Linked DNA regions of Diceros bicornis minor. The protein of the gene in region 1 binds, or shares a complex with, the protein of each later gene. Links are inferred from orthologs where the notes say so. Each region holds a gene or a part of one and is shown on either strand. Other genes may lie near its edges. The genes, in order: KDM4A and histone H1.4.

Region 1 (11,203 bases):
ACAATTGAACAACAAAAAAACAAACAACCCGATCAAAAAATGGGCAGAGGAAATGAACAGACACTTCTCCAAGGAAGATATACAGATGGCCAATAGGCACATGAAAAGATGCTCAACATCACTAATCATCAGGGAAATGCAAATCAAAACAACACTAAGATACCACCTCACGCCCGTTAGAATGGCTATAATCACCAAGACAAAAAACAACAAATGTTGGAGAGGATGTGGAGAAACAGGAACCCTCATACACAGCTGGTGGGAATGCAAATTGGTGCAGCCTCTATGGAAAACGGTATGGAGATTCCTCAAAGAATTAAAAATAGAGATGCCCTCTGATCCAGCCATCCCACTACTGGGAATCTATCCAACGCACCTGAAATCAACAATCTAAAGAGGCTTATGCACCCCTATGTTCATTGCAGCATTATTCACCATAGCCAAGAAGTGGAAGCAACCTAAGTGTCCCTCGACTGACGATTGGATTAAGAAAATGTGGTATATATATACAATGGAATACTACTCAGCCATAAAAAAAGACAAAATCGTCCCATTTGCAACAACATGGATGGGCCTGGAGCGTATTATGTTAAGTGAAATAAGCCAGAAAGAGAAAGACAAACACTGTATGATCTCACTCATATGTGGAATATAAACCAACACATGGACAGAGAAAACTGGACTGTGGTTACCCGGGAAGTGGGGGTGGGGGGTGGGCACAAGGGGTGAAGGGAGTCATATATGGGGTGATGGACAAACAAAAATGTACAACCCAAAATTTCACAATGTTAGAAACCATTAAAATATCAATAAAAATCAAAAAAAAAAAAAAAAATTGACAGGGCCGGCCCCGTGGCTTAGCGGTTAAGTGCGCGCGCTCCGCTGCTGGCGGCCCGGGTTCGGATCCCGGGCGCGCACGGACACACCGCTTCTCCGGCCATGCTGAGGCCGTGTCCCACATACAGCAACTAGAAGGATGTGCAGCTATGACATACAACTATCTACTGGGGCTTTGGGGGAAATAAATAAATAAAAATCTTTAAAAAAAAAATTTCACAAAAGATTTGAATAGATATTTCACCAAAGAGGATATATGAACAGCTAATAAGCATATAAAAAGATGCTCAACATCATTAGTCATTAGAGAAATGCAAGTTAAAACCTCAATGAGATACCACTTCACACCCACTAGAATGGCTATAATCAGAAAGATAGACAATAACAAATGTTGGCAAGGATGTGGAGAAAATGGGAACCCTCATATATTGTTGATGGGAATGTAAAATGGTACAGCCACTTTGGAAAACAGTTTGGCAGTTTCTTACAAAGATAAACATAAATTGACGACATGACACAGAAATTCCTCTCCTAATTATCTACCCAAGAGAAATGAAAACATACATTCACACAAAGACTTGCACATAAATGTTGATAGAAGCTCTATTCTTGGGCCGGCCCCGTGGCTTAGCGGTTAAGTGCGCGCGCTCCGCTGCTGGCGGCCCGGGTTCGGATCCCAGGCGCGCACCGACACACCGCTTCTCCGGCCATGCTGAGGCCGCGTCCCACATACAGCAACTAGAAGGATGTGCAACTATGACATACAACTATCTACTGGGGCTTTGGGGGGAAAAATAAATAAATAAATAAATTGTTAAAAAAAAAAAGAAGCCCTACTCATAATAGCCAAAAAGTGGAAACAACCCAAATGTCAATCAATACTACAAAGAGATACTATTCAACATTAAAAAGGAAGAAATACTGATGCATGCTACAACATGGATGAATCTCAAACAAAACAAAACAAAAAAAACATGCTAAGTGACAAAAGCCAGACACAAAAGACCACATATTGTATGGTTCTATTTATATGAAATGTCCAGAAAAGGCAGATCTGTGTAGACAGAAAGTAGATCAACAGTTGCCTGGGGCTGGGAGTGGGGACAGAGAGATTGTAACTGGGCACAAGCGATCTTATTGAGGGGGTAGATTTTATTGAGGTGATGGAAATGTTCTAAAACCGGATTGGGTGATGGTTGCCTGACTTGGTCAATTTTTAAATAATCTTTTTTTTTTTTTTTTTTTTTGTGAGGAAGATCAGCCCTGAGCTAACATCCATGCCAATCCTCCTCTTTTTGCTGAGGAAGACTGGCCCTGAGCTAACCTCTATTGCTGATCCTCCTCCTTTTTCTCCCCAAAGCCCCAGTAGATAGTTGTATGTCATAGCTGCACATCCTTCTAGTTGCTGTATGTGGGATGCGGCCTCAGCATAGCTGGAGAAGCGGTGCGTTGGTGTGCGCCCGGGATCCCAACCCGGGCCGCCAGTAGTGGACCACACGCACTTAATCGCTAAGCCACGGGGCTGGCCTCTAAAAATATCATTAAATTATACCCTTGAAATAGGCAGATTATATGGTATGCAAATTATATCTCAATAAAGTTGTTTTTATAAAAAGAAAAATGTTGATGACAACGTCAACAATCTTTGTGTATATAAAGCACTTAGCATAGTGTTTGGACATCGTAAGTGCTCAAATATAGTTAACTTTTTAAGCTAATAATATTGCCATTATTATTAGTGATGTAATGCTTACTATGTGCTAGGCGTTGTGCTGGGAGCTGGATAAAGGGAAGCTCCAGGGAAGAATCCTTGAGGTAGGACCATGGCAGGAACTGGATGCCATGATGACAGAGTTTCACGTCCAAATCCTACCGCCATTGCTAGCAAGTCCCTCTAAAAGGTGGGCAGATTCTGGGAGACGTTTTGCTGAGTCTGATACGAGGAACAGATGCTGCTGATACTGTCCCTTTTCTCCTCATCCCTGTGAATGTGGGCATGATGTCTGGGGCTGCAGCATTCACCTTACAACCGTGAGGTGCACATGTGAGGGCCAAACCCAGGTTGTGCGGCATGATGGAAAAAGATGGAAGGAGCCTGTGTCTTTGGTGCCTTTGTTGAGCACTGACCCAATGCCAATAAATGTCCCCCTTCAGACTTCTTATTACATGAGAAAAATAAGCTTATATTTGTTTCAGCCACTGTTGCTAGGGTTTTCTATCTCTGGCAATGGAACACATTCCTAAATACTACCGATAAGACCTAAGTGATACTCTTAAGAGACTTTTGCCTAGTGGAGGAAGATGCATATGTAATCAAACCTATGCACTTGTAAAACACTTACCTTGTGGAACTCCGTCTGGGGTGAGGTAATGGACCGCATCAAGGAGTCCGTAGTTGCATACTGGTTTCTGGCTTAGGTGACTGGGTGGATGCTGTCTCAATAATTGAGATAGGAAAAACCTAGAAGGTGGAGTTCACATGTGGGGCAAAAAGATTAGTTCTTTACTGGGCATGTGGGTTTTAGGTACTTTGGAGGACATGAAGGGGGAGGGATCCAGAGATAGGAGGATTTATAGATCCAACTCCGGGGAGAAGATTGTGCTGGAGTATAGAATGGATGTCATCAGTGTGTGCATATGAATGAAGTTTAAGAGTGAAAGTATATTGAGCTCTCATTTCAGGCTTTATGCGAAGTGCTTTGTATCAGTACCATCATCATCACCATCATCACCCTCCATCAACACAGCTAACAGTTACTGACCACTCATTACATGTCAATTCAACTTTTAAGTGCTTTACCTGCATTATCTCATTCAGTTCTTACAACCAAAACAGGGAAGTACTATTCCAATTTTAGTTATGAGATAACTGCGGATTAGAGAAATTAATTGCCCTCAAGTCATACTGCTAGTGGGTTGTGAAACCTGAAACACCTAAGGAGAGTTTGTAGAATGAAAGAAGAGGGCAAAGGACAGAGAGCCATGAGGACATCAACATGTTTTTTTTTCCTTTTTTTTTTTTAATTAAAATTAGGGGGCGGGCCCAGTGTCATAATGGTTAAGTTTATACGCTCCGCTTTGGCGTTCTGGGGTTCACCAGTTCAGGTCCCAGGTGCGGACCTATGCACCACTTATCAAGCTATGCTGTGGCAGCATCCCACATATAAAGTAGAGGAAGAAGAAGGGGCGGGCCTGGTGGCCAGCGGTTAAGTGAGCGTGCTCCACTTTGGCAGCCCGGCCAGGGTTCCCAGGTTCGTATCCCAGGCACGCACTGACGCACAGCAGCGACGCACCGCTCGTCACGCCAGACCGTGGCGGCGTCCCATATAAAGTAGAGGAAGATGGGCACAGATGTTAGCCCAGGGCCAATCTTCCTCAGCAAAAAAAGAGGAGGATTGGCAACACATGTTAGCTCAGGGCTGATCTTCCTCACCAAAAAAAACCCAAAAAAACCCCAAAAACCCAGAAACAAAGTAGAGGAAGATGGGCACGGATGTCAGCCCAGGGCCAATCTTCCTCAGCAAAAAGAGGAGGAGTAGCAACAGATGTTAGCTCAGGGCTAATCTTCCTCAGCAAAAAATAAAAATAAATTAATTCGTAATTTAATTTTAAACATACAATAAATATTATGCACAACTTACATGCTCATTGAATTTTTTTTTTTTTTTTTTTTTGGTAAGGAAGATCAGCCCTCAGCTAACATCCATGCCAATCCCCTCTTTTTGCTGAGGAAGACTGGCCCTGGGCTAACATCTGTGCCCATCTTCCTCCACTTTATATGGGATGCCGCTACAGCATGGCCTGACAAGCGGTGCACTGGTGCGCGCCTGGGATCTGAACCCGGGCCGCCAGCAGCAGAGTGCGTGCACTTAACTGCTACGCCACGGGGCCGGCCCCTCAATGAATTTTTACAATGTGAACACACCAGTGTAATAGCTACCATCCAGATTAAGAAACAGAACACTACCAACACCCCAGAAGCAGTCCTTATGCTGCCTCTGCCTCCCATCATTCCCTGTCCCCTACCCAAAGGTAACCACAACTTTGACCTCTTTCACCATAGATTAGTTTTGTTTTCAACATCAACATTTAAAGGGTGGGAAAGGAAAGATGAGCTTAAAAAGGTGACTGAGATAAACTGGTCAGAGAAATGGGAGGACATCAAGAGAACTTGACCTAGGCTCCACTATCACATGTACACATTAATTGGAAGCCAGTGATACAAAGTAGCAGCTATCTGGGAAAATCCTCTTTGGCAGCAATGGGAAATGTAGCAAGATCACATTCCTGGAGTAGTTGGTACTGACAGCAGTGCTGGTAACTGTATCCACGTCCAGGCAGTGAAGTCGTGAGGCGAGCTGCAGCATCTTGTGCTTGGCGGCAGCAGCAAGGACAGTGGTGGATGAATTCTATGGCATGATTTGGCATGGTTTTCCTCATTACATATCCTGCAAGTTGAATTCTTCAGACTCATAGCAATTTTGTGAGCCACTCAATATAAGCTATTATCTAATATATTACCTTACTAAAGGTCAAGAGAGAAAAACCTTATAATTATTGCGAAAGACTATGGTTGTCTACCCAACGGTCATTCCCTTGTCTTTTCTGAAACAGAAATCTGCTGGGTTTTGGGGGATGGGGTGGGGGGAGCATGTGCCCATCCCCAGGGGATAAATCCTGATTGGTCTACGTCCATACCATTCTATGTAACACCATCCTTTTTGCCAACACATATTAACTCTCATGTTCAAAACACTCCTGCAAGGCAAGTATTATTTTTTCCATTTTACTGATGGGAAAACCTAGGCTCAGAGGAGCGACTGGTGTTGAAGACATCTGACTCCATAACTCTTTCCAGTGCACTACACCATTACTCACTTATGGGTAATTTTGTACACTTTTTTTTTATTTTTTCCCCCAAAGCCCCAGTAGATAGTTGTATGACATAGCTGCACATCCTTCTAGTTGCTGTATGTGGGACGTGGCCTCAGCATGGCCGGAGAAGCGGCGCGTCGGTGCGCACCCGGGATCCGAACCCCGGCCGCCAGCAGCGGAGCGCGCGCACTTAACTGCTAGGCCACAGGCCGGCCCTGTACACTTTTTATGACTGGTTGTGGGTAGTCTACTTTTCTATTTGACCTATCAGTGTCCTGTATGCCTCCTTCCCCATCACCCTTGATAATCCAAGAGTTCCTTAAGGTGACTCACTACCTCTCAGGAACCGCTCCTAATGACTTCTAGGAACCCCCTCACCCTCTAGAAGTGGGTCTAATGACTCCCCGGATCTCCTCTCCCCGCCCCAAGAGCTGCTCCTAATGACCCCTAAATCCCCGCTCACTGAGGAACTGCTGTTTAACGACCCTAAGGACATCCCCCCTTAGGACCCGTCCTAATGACCCTCAGAGCTCCTTCCCCTTCAGGAACAGCTCCTTTCAAGAAATGTCCCGGTTTGCTGGCGAGTGAGGGGGTTCCCAGAACACAGGACTTTTAGTTTTAAAAACCGAAACAGTCCCGGGCAAACCGTGACAAGTTGGTCAGCTTATCAGGAACTCTTGACCGGGGAAGCTGCCCCTAAGGGCCCCCAGCGCACTTCCACCTTAGGCCAGGGCCCTACTCACCCCAAAAAGACTGTGCCCCAGCCTTTCGTCAGAAACCTCGTACAATAACCTCATCGCCCTTACCCTCGCCGGCCATCCCATTTCCAGGCACTCGCCTCTTTCAATCCTGATTAGCTATGGGCAGCCAGAAGCCCGCTTATGATTGGCCACTTCCGTGATTCAGCCGAGATGCTCAGTGGCCGCGGTCCCGAGTGGTACAGCATTTCCTCCTGGCAACAGCCCGAGCCGGCGCTCATAGGCTGAGAAGATTGATGTGCCCGGACTTCGGGGCGGTTTTAGCGCGTGCTCATTGGCTGTTGGAGGCTGATAGCGGCCCTCGGATTGGTTGAGTCTGTGGGCGCTATGCGGCTGCGCAGAGGCCGACTTGCGAGGAGGCGGGGCTTCGCCCTTAGCCGGGTGGAAAAGCAGTAGGATCGGCTAGTGGTGACAGCAGAAGCCGGGCCTTAGCCTTGCCGGGGCGGTGGGGTTTAGGTGAGAACCATAGAGTTTTGGAATCCTTTAGGTTTGTTGCTGCTATGGCCGTGACCGTGAGCTCCGGTGGGGGAGGGGCAGATGGGAGGAGCCTTCGGCGTGAGTGATAGGCATGGCCCTCAGCCAACGGGAGCAGGAGGTTCTAAAATGGGTCCTGACATTGGTCCTTTCCAATCTCTTATGGCCAATGGACGTCGGGAAGGGGGGCGGGTGTACTGGACCTTATTTTCTTCTTCCTGCGGCCGGGACCCACTCGCCTAGGCGGCGGGGCCGGGAGGAGCCCCGTGTGTCTGCGGTGAGGTTCGGGGGCCTTGGGAGTGGGGGGCTACCTTGGGAGCGATACCCGCGGGAGCGGCTGCGAGGGGCGGGGGTGGGAGCTCGAAGGGGCTGTTAGCAATAGCTACATTTATTGAGTGGTTAAGCACCGGGCCTAGTGCTTAGCGTTTCGCTTGCATCATCTGAGTTAATCACAGCAACCCTGCAGGGCAGGGAGGTCGGGATCCCCATATCACAGGTGGGGAAACTGAGACTCGGGCAATTCACACAGCCAAGGTCACACAGCTAATAAATGGCAGAGACCGGGTATGTATTCAGAGTTGTTTTGACTCCGGAGCCCGTGGTCTTAAACCACTAGGCTTTGTTGCTGGATGGGGGAAGGAAGGTGTCCGGGAACAGGAGGTTTCCCCAGGGAGTAGATTGGGGGAAGGGAATCCTAGGGTTGAAGAAAGGGAATGAGCAACCGAGGTGAGGACGAGGAAATCAGTTACTCACCAGTTACTGAGTGCCTACTTTGTGCCAGGCATTGTTCTAGGTTCTAGGCATACAAAAATGAATAAGGCCAGAGGCGAATGAAGCCCAATTAGGGGCTTCCAAGGCCCAGGTGAACACTCCCACTGTGTTCATCTGATTATATGTTTTTGTAAAATTTAGAAAAATAAGATATTTTGTATTCTTTTTTTTAAAAAAGAGGGTACTCAAAATTGAATAAGCTTCCAATTCCCTCACGCTTGAGTCTGCCCTTCCAAAGGATTTAGTCTAGGTGGAGATTATGATGTCGGCAGCGTAGTGTAATGGAAGGAGCACTAGTAGTGCATTACACGACTGTGGGCAAATTTCCTGGTATGTAAAGCAGAGATAACAGTATACCTGCCATGCAAAGTTTTGGCAAGGTGCATGAAAAGCGCGTGGCCAGGAACATGCTATTTTCGGTGAAGTGGAAGCCTGAGAGATGCGGATAGTGGTGCTGTTTTCTTTCCTACCTTATACAGTTTTGCTCCATGCTGCCTTCCCAGTCTGCTACTAGATTGCTGGTAGGTTGGAGGCAGTTTTCTCTTTTCTGAGCTCTCCAGCTCTCAAGGGGACTCTTGGAGGTGAACTGGCCTGGCTTTGGGGCCCAGATTGGGGGAATTCAGTAGAGGAAAGGACATACGGTTTTTGCTTCTAAACTGGCTCCTTTTAGCTGGTATGCTTGGTTCTTATTCAGTTGAAATAGTCTATTGTGTTACCAGACAATGGGGATGCACCCATTTAGCTGAAGGCCTCTTCTAAAAACAAAGTGTTTATACTTCACCCTCTCCAGTCAGTCAGGAAGTTTGCCCTGGATTGCCAGTTTATTGCCTGTTTCAGTTTTCTCCTTGGAGTTCTGGGTACAGTGCCATTGAATTAGTCTGTAGCTTGACTTCATGAGGTACTGCTGAGACTGCCTTTTGGTTTAGCCGTGAGAACAATTTCGCTTGAGGGTTTTAAAAATCATGGCTCATGCTACTAATATCAGAGTACTTATTAACCCTTAAACTGTGTAATCTTGTAGCCAAGTAACTTTTCTTAGGGAGTCTAGAATCCTGTTTTAAAGCTGTGCCCTAGAAGGGAGTCCGTAGGTTGCTTTGTAAAATCTGGTTGTAGTATATTATGTTTAATACTCTGAGAAGCAATTAGCAAGGTGTGAATAGGGAGCAACTTGAAAAGATAAGGGTAAAATATGGGCAGGGCAGCTGTATTGTTAGATAGGGCCAACAACCAAATAATTAGTTTCCCTTTGTTAGCTGAAACAGTGTCTCCAATTAAATGAGATATGAATACATGAAATTTTGGTACATCAGGTTCTTTTGAACAGAGCCTTTCCTATCTGTATTTCTTGTTCATTTAAATAACTTATCTAGAGGCAGATTCCAGGTATGAGGATTTAATGCTGCTTCAGAACTTCTACATCATCTACTATTTTCAGCACTGACATTCCCAGCATTTAGCTTTAGTTACATTTTATATAATTTTATGTTCTTAATGTGTTTCTTCAGATTGCTCTCTGACCAAGTGACCTCAAAAAAGAGGGAAAATGGCTTCTGAATCTGAAACCCTGAATCCTAGTGCTCGAATAATGACTTTTTATCCAACCATGGAGGAGTTCCGGAATTTCAGCCGATACATTGCCTACATTGAATCTCAAGGAGCTCATCGGGCTGGGCTTGCCAAGGTGAGGGGTGGGACCATTCAGCAGGGCTGTTGTGACAGAGGGTAGCAGTAAGACTTTTCCTAAATGAAGGGTGGAAGCACTGAACCTTACTGAAAGCCAGGCAGGGTGATCAGTTAAGTGTATGCTGTCCTATTTGCAAGTTAATTCCTTTCGTTAACATCTGAAGCATCTCTCTTTTAGGTGGGAGGAGAACTGCTTGGGATCTTGAAAAGGAAGGTGAAGAGCCAGTGTCTCAGGGTCAGCTGCTGTGGTGCTTCCATCCTCGTGGTGGGGATGGAGGCTGTAGTGTTTTGTTTTGTTTTTTAAATCTTTTACACATGTTGATTTTTTTTTTTTACTATTTGTACAAGAGTTGTGATTTTATTCTCTTTTTATTTTCTTATTTTTCTTTTTGCTGAGGAAGACTGGCCCTGGGCTAACATCCGTGCCCATCTTCCTCTACTTTATATGGGACGCCGCCACAGCATGGCCTGACAAGCAGAGCGTCAGTGCGCTCCCAGGATCCGAACCTGCGAACCCTGAGCCACAGAAGCAGAGCCCGCGCACTTAACCGCTCCGCCACCGGGCCTGCCCGGCTTTAGTATTTTCATCTGTGACCAAGTGCTTATGCCATCCAGCTTCTCTTGTTTTCCTTTCGGTCTCAGCCAGCACTCTGATAGTAATTTGGCTTCCCATGTGGACTTTCTGTTAGATTGCGAGAGAATCATCTCTTCAGCCTCCTCTCTTGATGCCCAGATAAGATACGAGGCTGAGAACAAGTCTTACTCACCTGAGGTCATTGCAACTAGGCAGCTAGTCGGTGGCAGAACTGGATCAGTGTGACTTGCTGAGTCTGGGTGAACGTGGTTCAATCAAGTAACTTGGGTAAAATTGACTGTGAGGTTGGATAGCAGCCTACACGCTTCTGCACGCTGCCTGGCTTGCCGTTTCTGATCTGTCTCTTTGTTTCTTGTGTTTCTTACAGGTTGTTCCTCCAAAGGAGTGGAAGCCACGAGTGTCCTATGATGATATTGATGATCTGGTCATTCCTGCTCCCATCCAACAGCTGGTGACTGGGCAGTCTGGCCTCTTTACTCAGTACAACATACAGAAGAAAGCCATGACTGTTCGAGAGTTCCGCAAGATAGCCAACAGTGATAAGTGAGTGGAAACACGTTTCTTCCTTTTACCTGTCACAGCGTCTAGTACCTAACGTCTCGTCCTCACAGCTGTCTCCAAAACCACACTGTCCTACTGAAGAACAGTTTCCCACCTCTATCTTCTGTCTCCCTTTCTGACCTTTCTATTTTCATTTCCTCCTCTCAGTACTGTGTCACAGTCTAAATTTGTCCATATTCTTACGTAAAGTAATCCCATTGTTTTTCCATCAAAAGTAGAATCATTTTCTGACTCTGATAAGTTGCAAAGGAGAAGGTTGGAGTTGGTTCAAAAGGAGCTTTCGCCAGATGTATTGATACCACTTGCTTCTCAGAAAGTGGCCTTAGCAGTTTACATTAATCTCTTCCTTCTGTCTTTAATCATCCTCAGACTCCTCACTACCCATCAAGCTGCTATCTCGTTTCCTTTTTGACATTAACAAAGTGTGGATAAACTACCAAGCTGGTTGCTGTTCTCTATCACTCCATTCTTCCTCATCTGTACCTGCTTGTCTCTGTTAGAAGTGTCTTTTGTTTAGGCCTGCTGTTTTCAGTTGTCTTTCTCTGCTGTTTTTAATACTCAGCTCTCATTTGACTTCAGGTTTACAGAGCGTGAATTTCATGTTTCCCTCATCGGCTCTGACTGCTCCTTCTTAATCCTCTTCCTTGGA
Region 2 (8,915 bases), on another chromosome or scaffold:
TGTTTGCTAATAATAAAGTAATCAATACTTACAGTAGAAACAGAAAACACATAAAAGTTTGGAAACAAGAATAAAAATCATCTATATTTCTACCACTATGAAGAACTTATGTCACATTTAGGTGTATTTTTCCCTTCTATGAAAAGTGTTATAACATTGTGGGATACAAAGAGAAACTTATTTTTTTTAGAAAACTTTTTTCTTTTGAACCAATTATAGATTTATGAAAGTTGCAATAATAGTACAAAAAGTTCCCTTATAAAGTTCCCTCAACTGGCTTCCCCCAATGTTAATGTCTTACATAACCATTATACAATTATAAAGAACAAGAAATGGACATTGGTACAATATTATTAACTAAACTTTAAACTTTATTCAAATTTTACAAATTTTTCCACCAATGTCTTTTTTCTAGTCCAGGATCTTATTCAGGATCCCACATTGCATTTACTTATTGTTTCTCCTTAATCTCTTTCAGTCTATAATAGTTCTTTAGTCTGTCCTGGTCTTTCATGACCTTCACACTTTTGAAAAGTACTGATCAGTTAAACAATATTCCTCCATTTGAATTTGTCTGATGTTTTCTCACTGTTGGAATGAGTTTATGTATTTTTGCCAGAAAATATGACAAAAATGATGAAGTGTCCTTTTAAGTGCAAGGAGTTCATGATGTTATATCTCATTACTTGTGATGTTACCTTGCTCACTTAGTTAAGGAGGGGTCTGCTGGGTTTCTCCACTGTAAAGTTATTACCTTTCCCTTTGTAGTTGATAGATATCTTGGGGAGGATACCTTGAGACTATGTGAATCCTGCTTCTCCTTAAAATTTCACCCAATAATTTTAGCATCCATCTATGAATTTTATCTGCAATAAGAAAGAGTTGTCCTTTCTCCTTATGTATTTATTTATGGATATATATTTTATTCTATGAGTTAAATGCTGTATTATCAGTTTTTTTTATTTTGTTGCCAAATGGTTCCAGCTTTGGCTACTGGTAGCTCCTTGAGACTGGGTTGCATGTTTTTTCAACGTTTCCATCTTTTTTAAAATGTTTTATTTTCTGGCACCACAAGATGTTCCAGGCCCATCTGATATTTTCCCTGCTCCAGCCTTGGAATCAACTACCTCTCCAAGGAGCCCTAGTTCCTTTTATTGGAGAATGATGGTTAAAAACCAAAGATTGTGTGTGGGATGTGCTAATTGCTCCTGGGATGTCACTGCTTGTAAGTCCTTGCAGCTGAGCGAGCAAAGAAATATATGTGTAGGTGCCGGCCCCGTGGCTTAGCGGTTAAGTGCGCGGGCTCTGCTACTCGCAGCCGGGTTCGGATCCCAGGCGCCCACCGACACACTGCTTGTCCAGCCCTGCTGAGGCCGCGTCCCATATACAGCAGCTAGAAGGATGTGCAACTATGACATACAACTATCTACTGGGGCTTTGGGGGAAAGGAAAAAGGAGGAGGATTGGCAATAGATGTTAGCTCAGAGTTGGTCTTCCTCAGCAAAAAGAGGAGGATTAGCATGGATGTTAGCTCATGTTTGATCTTCCTCACAAAAAAAAAAAAGAAATATATGTGTAATTAACCCACACATACACACACACATCTTTGTTTCTGTATCTATATAATTGTAGATATATTTTACAATTTGAACTTATATTAATACTTCTGATTCTAATCTAGCACCACAAGGTTCATTTTAGCCAAATACTTCTTTTTCCACCAGTGAGAACACTGGATCTCACTTTCTGCAACATATTTACTTCTTTGTTCAATTCTAGTAGATACATAAGTAGTTTCAGAATTATTAATCTATATCCCAGAGAAAAATATTTTTATTAGATTATGGCCTTTATATATAGTTACTTTGCCTTTAGCCTTACAGTATCCAATCAAGATATTATCTTCCACAGTTACTTAAGTTAATTTTTATCTTATTCAATTCCTTCGGTGTCATTGTTGTTAATTTAATACAGTTTGGTTAATTTATTAGTGATTGTATTCCATTTTGGGTATATGTTCCCATCCCTATCGCTCTTTTCTTTTTGCTTGAGGAAGATTGTCCCTGAGCTAACACCTGTGATAGTCTTCCTCTATTTTGTATGTGGGATGCCACCGCAGCATGGCTTGATGTGTGGTGTGTATCTCTGCGCCAAGGATCTGAACCCTCGAACCCTGGGCTGCAGAAGTGGAGCACAAGAACTTAACCACTTCGCCACTGGACCAGCCCCCGATAAGTATTGCTTTTAATAGTTTGTTTATTTTGCTAGTATGTGAAACATTACTGTAGTTGTAAGAGTCAGAGTTATACAAAAAGACAGACTCAGGAAACTGTCACTCCCTCCTCATCCCTGCTACTCTGCTCCCATTCCTGCCTTCTTTCCATTCCTTTCTAACCTACCCCCCATGGATAACCAATCTCGTTCATTTTTGGTTTATCCTTCCGGTATATCTTTTGCACAAATGAGCAGAAAAATGTGTTTTCTTATATACTCTTCTTTCACTTACGGAGGATATCATACTATGGATAGTCTTTTGCACTTGGCTTTTTCACTTAATCCTATATCCCTGAGTTTGCTCCTGATTAGTTCATAGAGATCTTCTTCATTCATTGTTGTAGCTGATATTACTCAACTATGCATATGTGCCCTAGTTTATTCAGCCCCTCTCTTACATGTGGATATTAAAATGCTTTCCAATATTTTACAGTTCCAAACAACGCTACAATGAATAACCTGGGCTATGCAACCCTGCAACCCACAGTGTTCATTGTAAAATTAAACAAAAGAAATAACAATTTCTAAGAAAATATATAGCCCTTTTTAAGAAAAGTTTTCCAGAAATGCTCTACATCAAAAGCCAAGATACAGTGCCTATTAAGAGTCCACAAAGGGAAGTTTGTCTCAACATATAGAGTTCTGCAGGTCGTCTTCAGAGTGTCGCTGTGTCTGTGCTTATATAGCACACCTCGTATGAGGGAGCTGGGGAGGTGCTAATTTGTCTAGCAAAAAACACCTTTTCCCCAAGCTCTGTCTTCAATAAAACTATCAGGGTAACATATTAAAATAGCAAAGTCCAGAATCAAGTGCTTGGAGCCCAGAGTTGTGGAGTAGAAGGAACCAAGTACAAGCCTCTCTTTTCTTTCAGTTTTTCTACAAATCACATTGTTCCTCTTAGCTTAGTTGCTATCAGGTCCAAAATAGAAATGTTTACAGAGTGCTCCCTACTTTCCATCAGTCGGAGTTCTATAGAGGCTTAAAAAAAAAGTCAAAAATAGGAAATTATTTTTTTAGCTCATTAGAGATTAATAAACTTAAGAATATTTTATAACTACAAAAGTTCAAGAAATTGCATGAGGAAGACTCCTCCACTCTGGCCACATTAGCCTGTACAGAGACAAATACATTTTACACAGGGCCATCCAGCACACAGTCAAGGAGCTGTGTAGATAACTGAAACTACATGCATTGAGCTCTGGTATTTTATATTCTACTCTAGTTTGTTAACAAAGAAACATTTTAGCCTTGTGCTACTATATTGATTTCACCACCTTTAATGATCATTCAGACCTGTAGTATGAAAAACACTGTTTTTAAGAGCACATGCTTTGAAATCAGACAGATGTGAGCTGGAACCCAGGATGCACCTCTTACCAGCAGTCTTCTCAGGAGAATTTCTCAACCCGTGAAAGCCCATTTCCTCCTATGTAAAATGGGGGTGCTATCTATAGCGCGGATTGTTGCATTGACTAAGAATGCAGGTAGCACACAGTACAGTAGTCAATAAATGGAAAGGGTAACTTTTATTAAGAATGATAAAATGGGACAAGAAGTGGAGATGCTGTACTAGGGAATTCTGGTAGTCCACAGGCAATCAGTCCAGACCACCCTCTGTGGATGGAAAATAATGAAGCAGAAGATCCTTTACCGTTACTCTCCCTTCTCTTTCTTGAACCCACTCTAGTGCCCAGTCAGGTGTTAATCCAAGGAAGTCAGGATTGGATTCCTGCTGCCCCCATCCTCCCAACCTGTGGTCATATCCAGCACGGACTTCTTTTCGAAGATCTTGAAGGCAAGTCCAGAAATCCACAGGAACACTCAGATCACAGGAAACACTTTTGACCTGTCAATCACCTCCAGTGAGCGTGGCAGTGGTTCCCACACTTGGCTGGGCATCAGGAGAATCTGAAGAAGTTGTGAAATATTCAGATTCTGAGACCCACTGAAGTCGTTGGTTCAGAAGCATCTAGAACAAGACTTTGGAATCTATATTTAAAACACATGCACAGCACACACACACACAGTTCTGATATAGCTGACAGATCAACAGGAAAATGGAGTCCTTTGGTGTTACTCTTATTTCAAATAAATGCTTGATTTAACAGTGGAAGATCCTCAATATCTTCAAATTTGTCACATTTATAAGAAAACACACTGTACCATGGGAGATGAACATAGGTGAGTTGAAAGATCACAGGATTTGGAGAGTTTACGTCCCTCCAAGTCAGAAGTAGTAAGGAACACATAGAATAGAGTAAGGCATTTGAGAGAAAACTTCAATGTGTTGTGCAAATTTCAGCTAGCTGTGAGAGTGGTTTGTTTGTTACTGAAAGTGAGTATAACCCCACTGTTCTGGGATCAATTGACCGTAAAATCGGTTTCCCTAGTAACTATCAATTGGTTGGTTTTGGAACCTTATCCCCTCCCTTTTTATTTTAAACTATACCAAAGGGCACATTTATTTTTCACTAGCATGCAAGAATTACATTGAAAATGTTTACATGTTAGGGCTTAAAATATATTGATAATCTACATCACTTTTATACTGGATTCAACATTAATTTAAATAAGACTATTTTGAAACATTGCAACATGTATCAAAGATCTGTATTCTCTTTTATTTCAGTAGTAGTAGGGTCGGTCTGTTGAGTGTAGAGAAGATTTGGGGCAATGGAACTAAAAATTGATGTGATGTTCAATGCTATGTTACAACCAGCCACACTTGCAGAATAGTATCATATCACCTTATAGCACTGACCAAAATTTTATTTTGTCTGTCAAGTACATGCCTTGCAGTTTTTAAAGACAATTCTATCCAGACCATTTTCCAGGAATAGTTCTTTTAGTTGGGTTTGCATTGCCAAGATGTACTCTTTGTTGATTGGGTAACTGCCTAAACAAATCCATTAGTTCAGAGACCTTGCAAAGGATGTCTTCAGAGGGCAATAACTTAACTTGGATAGTCCATCAAAGCTCTGCTTCTGAGATGGAAATTTGAACTTGTCATTCAATCATACATGTAACTCATTTTCTTTTTTATGGAGCTCCGGGAAGCATAGAGCCATAATCTTCATGATTGAAGCCATATTTGGTGTGTAGACTAGTCATTCATCAGCTATTCAGTAATAACAGGGTCTGGGGTTCTCTAGTAATGGAAATAGGTATGTTATAATCTACACTTCTCATTTATTTCCCTTTACTATCGATGCTTGAATTTCAATTCTAGCTAGTATATTACAATCTGATCCTGAAACACATATCGAAAGAATTCAGCAAGACTGCAGACAAATTCTTCAAAGAGCACCTCCACTTCCAGTGACTTTATGGACATCATCTGCGTGTTATTTGAAAATTAATCTTTTTCCATCTTGTACCCTATGTGTTGGACTCCCCTTCCTTCCCAGATATCCTGAATTCAAGTTATCTAAACTCATGAAGCAGTTGTCCAGAGGAAGAGAAGCAACAGCCCCGCCCCCAACCCTTGGGAGCAGAAAGGAAAAGAATTATCCTAAGGAATTGTTAAAAATCCCAGATGCAGCAGACAGAAACAAACCATGGCTGTATAGGTTGATGTCCCAGGGGTCTAAAATTTAACCCCACATGGGCAATAATTTGTTTGGCATTAAACTAAACCAGTTTGATGAACTCAAATGCCCTCGGCTCAATAGGCAGGACTCTCCGAGGAGCCTGTGTTACTTCCCTCACTTAAGCGCAGATTTGTAATAAAAATCTTAATGCCAGTGGCATGGTTTTTGGACATATAAGAAGCTAACAACTTGCAGAATCATATTTGAGAGGTCAGAAAACTCCACAGTCAAAGGTCGATTTATAATTTGCGAAGAAAATAGAAAGTTTTGTTTCTCTCAGTTGAAATTTGGCGAGGACGGCGAGAAATATTGCTGGTTTTTGGCATAAGGTTTTGTGCTTTCCTCATAATTTGAGACCTGCGTGAAGCCTGAGGCTTCGGGGATCATTTTTTGAGAAAAATCAGGCAATTCGGTGTAGAGAATTTTGATATTTTTGACATTTTTTGAGGTGTAACAAACACAACTCGGGATCCGAGAGGACACTCTGCGGCTGCCAGCTAGGCGGGCTGGACAGCGCACCAATCACGGCGCAGCTCCGCCCTATATAAACGGGCGGGCGCAGCGCCGCGGCCCGAGTCCCGGCCAGTGTCTCTGCTTCCGGCTCGAATTGCTCTCTCCAAACCCGCCTTCAATATGTCTGAGACTGCGCCCGCCGCGCCCGCTGCTCCGGCCCCTGCCGAAAAAACGCCAGTGAAGAAAAAAGCCCGCAAGGCGGCAGGTGCCGGGAAGCGCAAAGCGTCGGGACCCCCAGTGTCCGAGCTCATCACCAAGGCTGTCGCTGCCTCTAAAGAGCGCAGTGGCGTGTCCCTGGCTGCGCTCAAGAAGGCGCTGGCGGCCGCTGGTTACGACGTGGAGAAGAACAACAGTCGCATCAAGTTGGGTCTGAAGAGCCTGGTGAGCAAGGGCACGCTGGTGCAGACCAAGGGCACTGGTGCGTCGGGTTCTTTTAAGCTCAACAAGAAGGCAGCCACTGGCGAAGCTAAGCCCAAGGCCAAGAAGGCGGGCGCGGCCAAGCCCAAGAAGCCTGCGGGAGCGGCTAAGAAGCCCAAGAAGACCACGGGGGCGGCCACCCCAAAGAAGAGCGCTAAAAAGACCCCAAAGAAGGCGAAGAAGCCTGCTGCGGCTGCGGGAGCCAAAAAGGCAAAGAGCCCCAAAAAGGCTAAAGCAGCCAGGCCCAAGAAGGCGCCCAAAAGCCCAGCGAAGGCCAAAGCGGTGAAACCCAAGGCGGCTAAACCAAAGACCGCCAAACCGAAGGCAGCCAAGCCAAAGAAGGCGGCAGCCAAGAAAAAGTAAGAAGTTTCCTTGGCCAACTGCTTGTGAGCTCAACACAACCCAAAGGCTCTTTTCAGAGCCACCCACAGATATCACATAAAGAGCTGTGGCACTTTTTAAAGGGGGCGTGGCTGTAAGCCCTGAAGCACGGGGCGGGCCCCCAGGGATGTGGTATGGGTTGCAGTAGTGAGTAATATCGTCCTCCGGTTGAACACGCCTGTGTCCTCGGAGAACTGCTGACTGAGGCCTGAGCGGGATAGGGGTGCCGGGTTTGAGTACCTGTCCATTGTCTCCAGAGCTCGGAGAGAAAATTCTGCAAATATTAGGAGTACGCCGGTTGTAAGTAGGTAGCTCGTAACACCCACCCCTGACCCCCACCTAGGATGCCATATGAAAGACCACAGATTTGGGGGCGAAAGTGATATTTCAAGTGTTGTTGCAGGACCTATGTTATGTAGGTGTTGGGAGATTGTAATGTTTCACCCAAAATTATCAGATGCACTCAGCATTTACCTATTGCGTTAAAGATTTACCGTTGTATGGGACACTTGCGTTCAGAACAAACCAAAAGGTAAAATTGGCAGATTTGGGCGAAGACGTTCCCGAATATTTTAACCATAATGGTTTATGGTAAAACAAGTTCGCAGGGTTTTTGGTAGAGAAAGATAAGGGAATGCAAACTTGAAAGGGTCACGCAGTCCAGCGTTATTGCTGAGCTTCTAGTGGTTGGGATTTGGTTAGCTGCTGCGGGGATAATGAGCTACTCAACAACCGCTGGCCCACCAGCTCTAGCAGCTAGGACATCAGCACAGCCACTAGGTGTCACTGGCGTGGGGCCCGGACCCAATGCACAAAGTTATTCTGGCGAGCACGGAGTTGCTTCCACTCACAAACCTAAAACTGGCCTCTTCGAAATAAAAGTTCCATCTCTTCGAGATGTACAGCCCCGTCGCTTGAAGAGGCCATTTATAGTAGCTTTGGGTAGCCTAGTATAGGCCTTCTGATTGGGTCGAAGCAAAGTAACCAAATAGCCAATGAAAAGGTAGACGTGCAACTATCATTTACATTCGTATTTGTGACGACACTAAAATTAATCCAATCATGAGCGAAATCTTACTAACCTAATTTGAATACCGCATCTATAAATAAATGTGGCCTCGCTGGGGGTGACTATTTTCCCAGGTGTTAGCGATAGTGTTGTGATTTTTTAACGTTACAATGCCTGAACCTACCAAGTCTGCTCCAGCCCCGAAAAAGGGCTCCAAGAAGGCGGTGACCAAGGCGCAGAAGAAAGACGGCAAGAAGCGCAAGCGCAGCCGCAAGGAGAGCTACTCCGTGTACGTGTACAAGGTGCTGAAGCAGGTTCACCCCGACACCGGCATCTCGTCCAAGGCCATGGGCATCATGAACTCGTTCGTCAACGACATCTTCGAGCGCATCGCGGGCGAGGCGTCGCGCCTGGCGCATTACAACAAGCGCTCGACCATCACGTCCAGGGAGATCCAGACGGCCGTGCGCCTGCTGCTGCCTGGGGAGCTGGCCAAGCACGCCGTGTCCGAGGGCACCAAGGCCGTCACCAAGTACACCAGCTCCAAGTAAACTTGTCAAGTAAGCGTCTTTACATCTAACCCCAAAGGCTCTTTTAAGAGCCACGCATGCTTTCAACAAGTGAGTTGTAATCCTTTTATTCCAAAGGCTATTCTCGGATTTCTCATACCAAATTTAAACCTATGCTACCGTTTTTGAATGCTGTATTACAGCTGCGTAGGAAATACTTGT

What was found.
Region 2: the proteins of KDM4A (region 1) and histone H1.4 are in contact, whole or in part, in a crystal structure (PDB 6H8P), measured with the Homo sapiens proteins. The link is inferred for Diceros bicornis minor from reciprocal best matches to the Homo sapiens genes KDM4A and H1-4. Residues at the interface, in NP_055478.2 of Homo sapiens: Ile71, Asn86, Ala134, Asp135, Asn137, Thr167, Ile168, Glu169, Gly170, Val171, Tyr175, Tyr177, Glu190, Asp191, Ser196, His240, Lys241, Ser288, Thr289, Asn290, Asp311, Met312, Val313; in NP_005312.1 of Homo sapiens: Ala24, Arg25, Lys26, Ser27, Ala28, Gly29.

Annotation. Positions count from the first base shown.
Region 1 is NC_080752.1:6,560,658-6,571,860, forward strand, and holds the start of KDM4A (lysine-specific demethylase 4A), read left to right. Parts: upstream 1-6,834; 5' UTR 6,835-6,926; exon of another isoform or gene 6,927-6,957; intron 6,958-7,198; exon of another isoform or gene 7,199-7,221; intron 7,222-9,220; 5' UTR 9,221-9,258; coding exon 9,259-9,396; intron 9,397-10,360; coding exon 10,361-10,536; intron 10,537-11,203. UniProt on the Homo sapiens protein: Histone demethylase that specifically demethylates 'Lys-9' and 'Lys-36' residues of histone H3, thereby playing a central role in histone code. Does not demethylate histone H3 'Lys-4', H3 'Lys-27' nor H4 'Lys-20'.
Region 2 is NC_080753.1:42,163,533-42,172,447, reverse strand, and holds histone H1.4, read left to right. Parts: upstream 1-6,448; 5' UTR 6,449-6,497; coding exon 6,498-7,157; 3' UTR 7,158-7,240; downstream 7,241-8,915. Other genes in the region: histone H2B type 1-M, read left to right, coding at 8,355-8,735. UniProt on the Homo sapiens protein: Histone H1 protein binds to linker DNA between nucleosomes forming the macromolecular structure known as the chromatin fiber. Histones H1 are necessary for the condensation of nucleosome chains into higher-order structured fibers.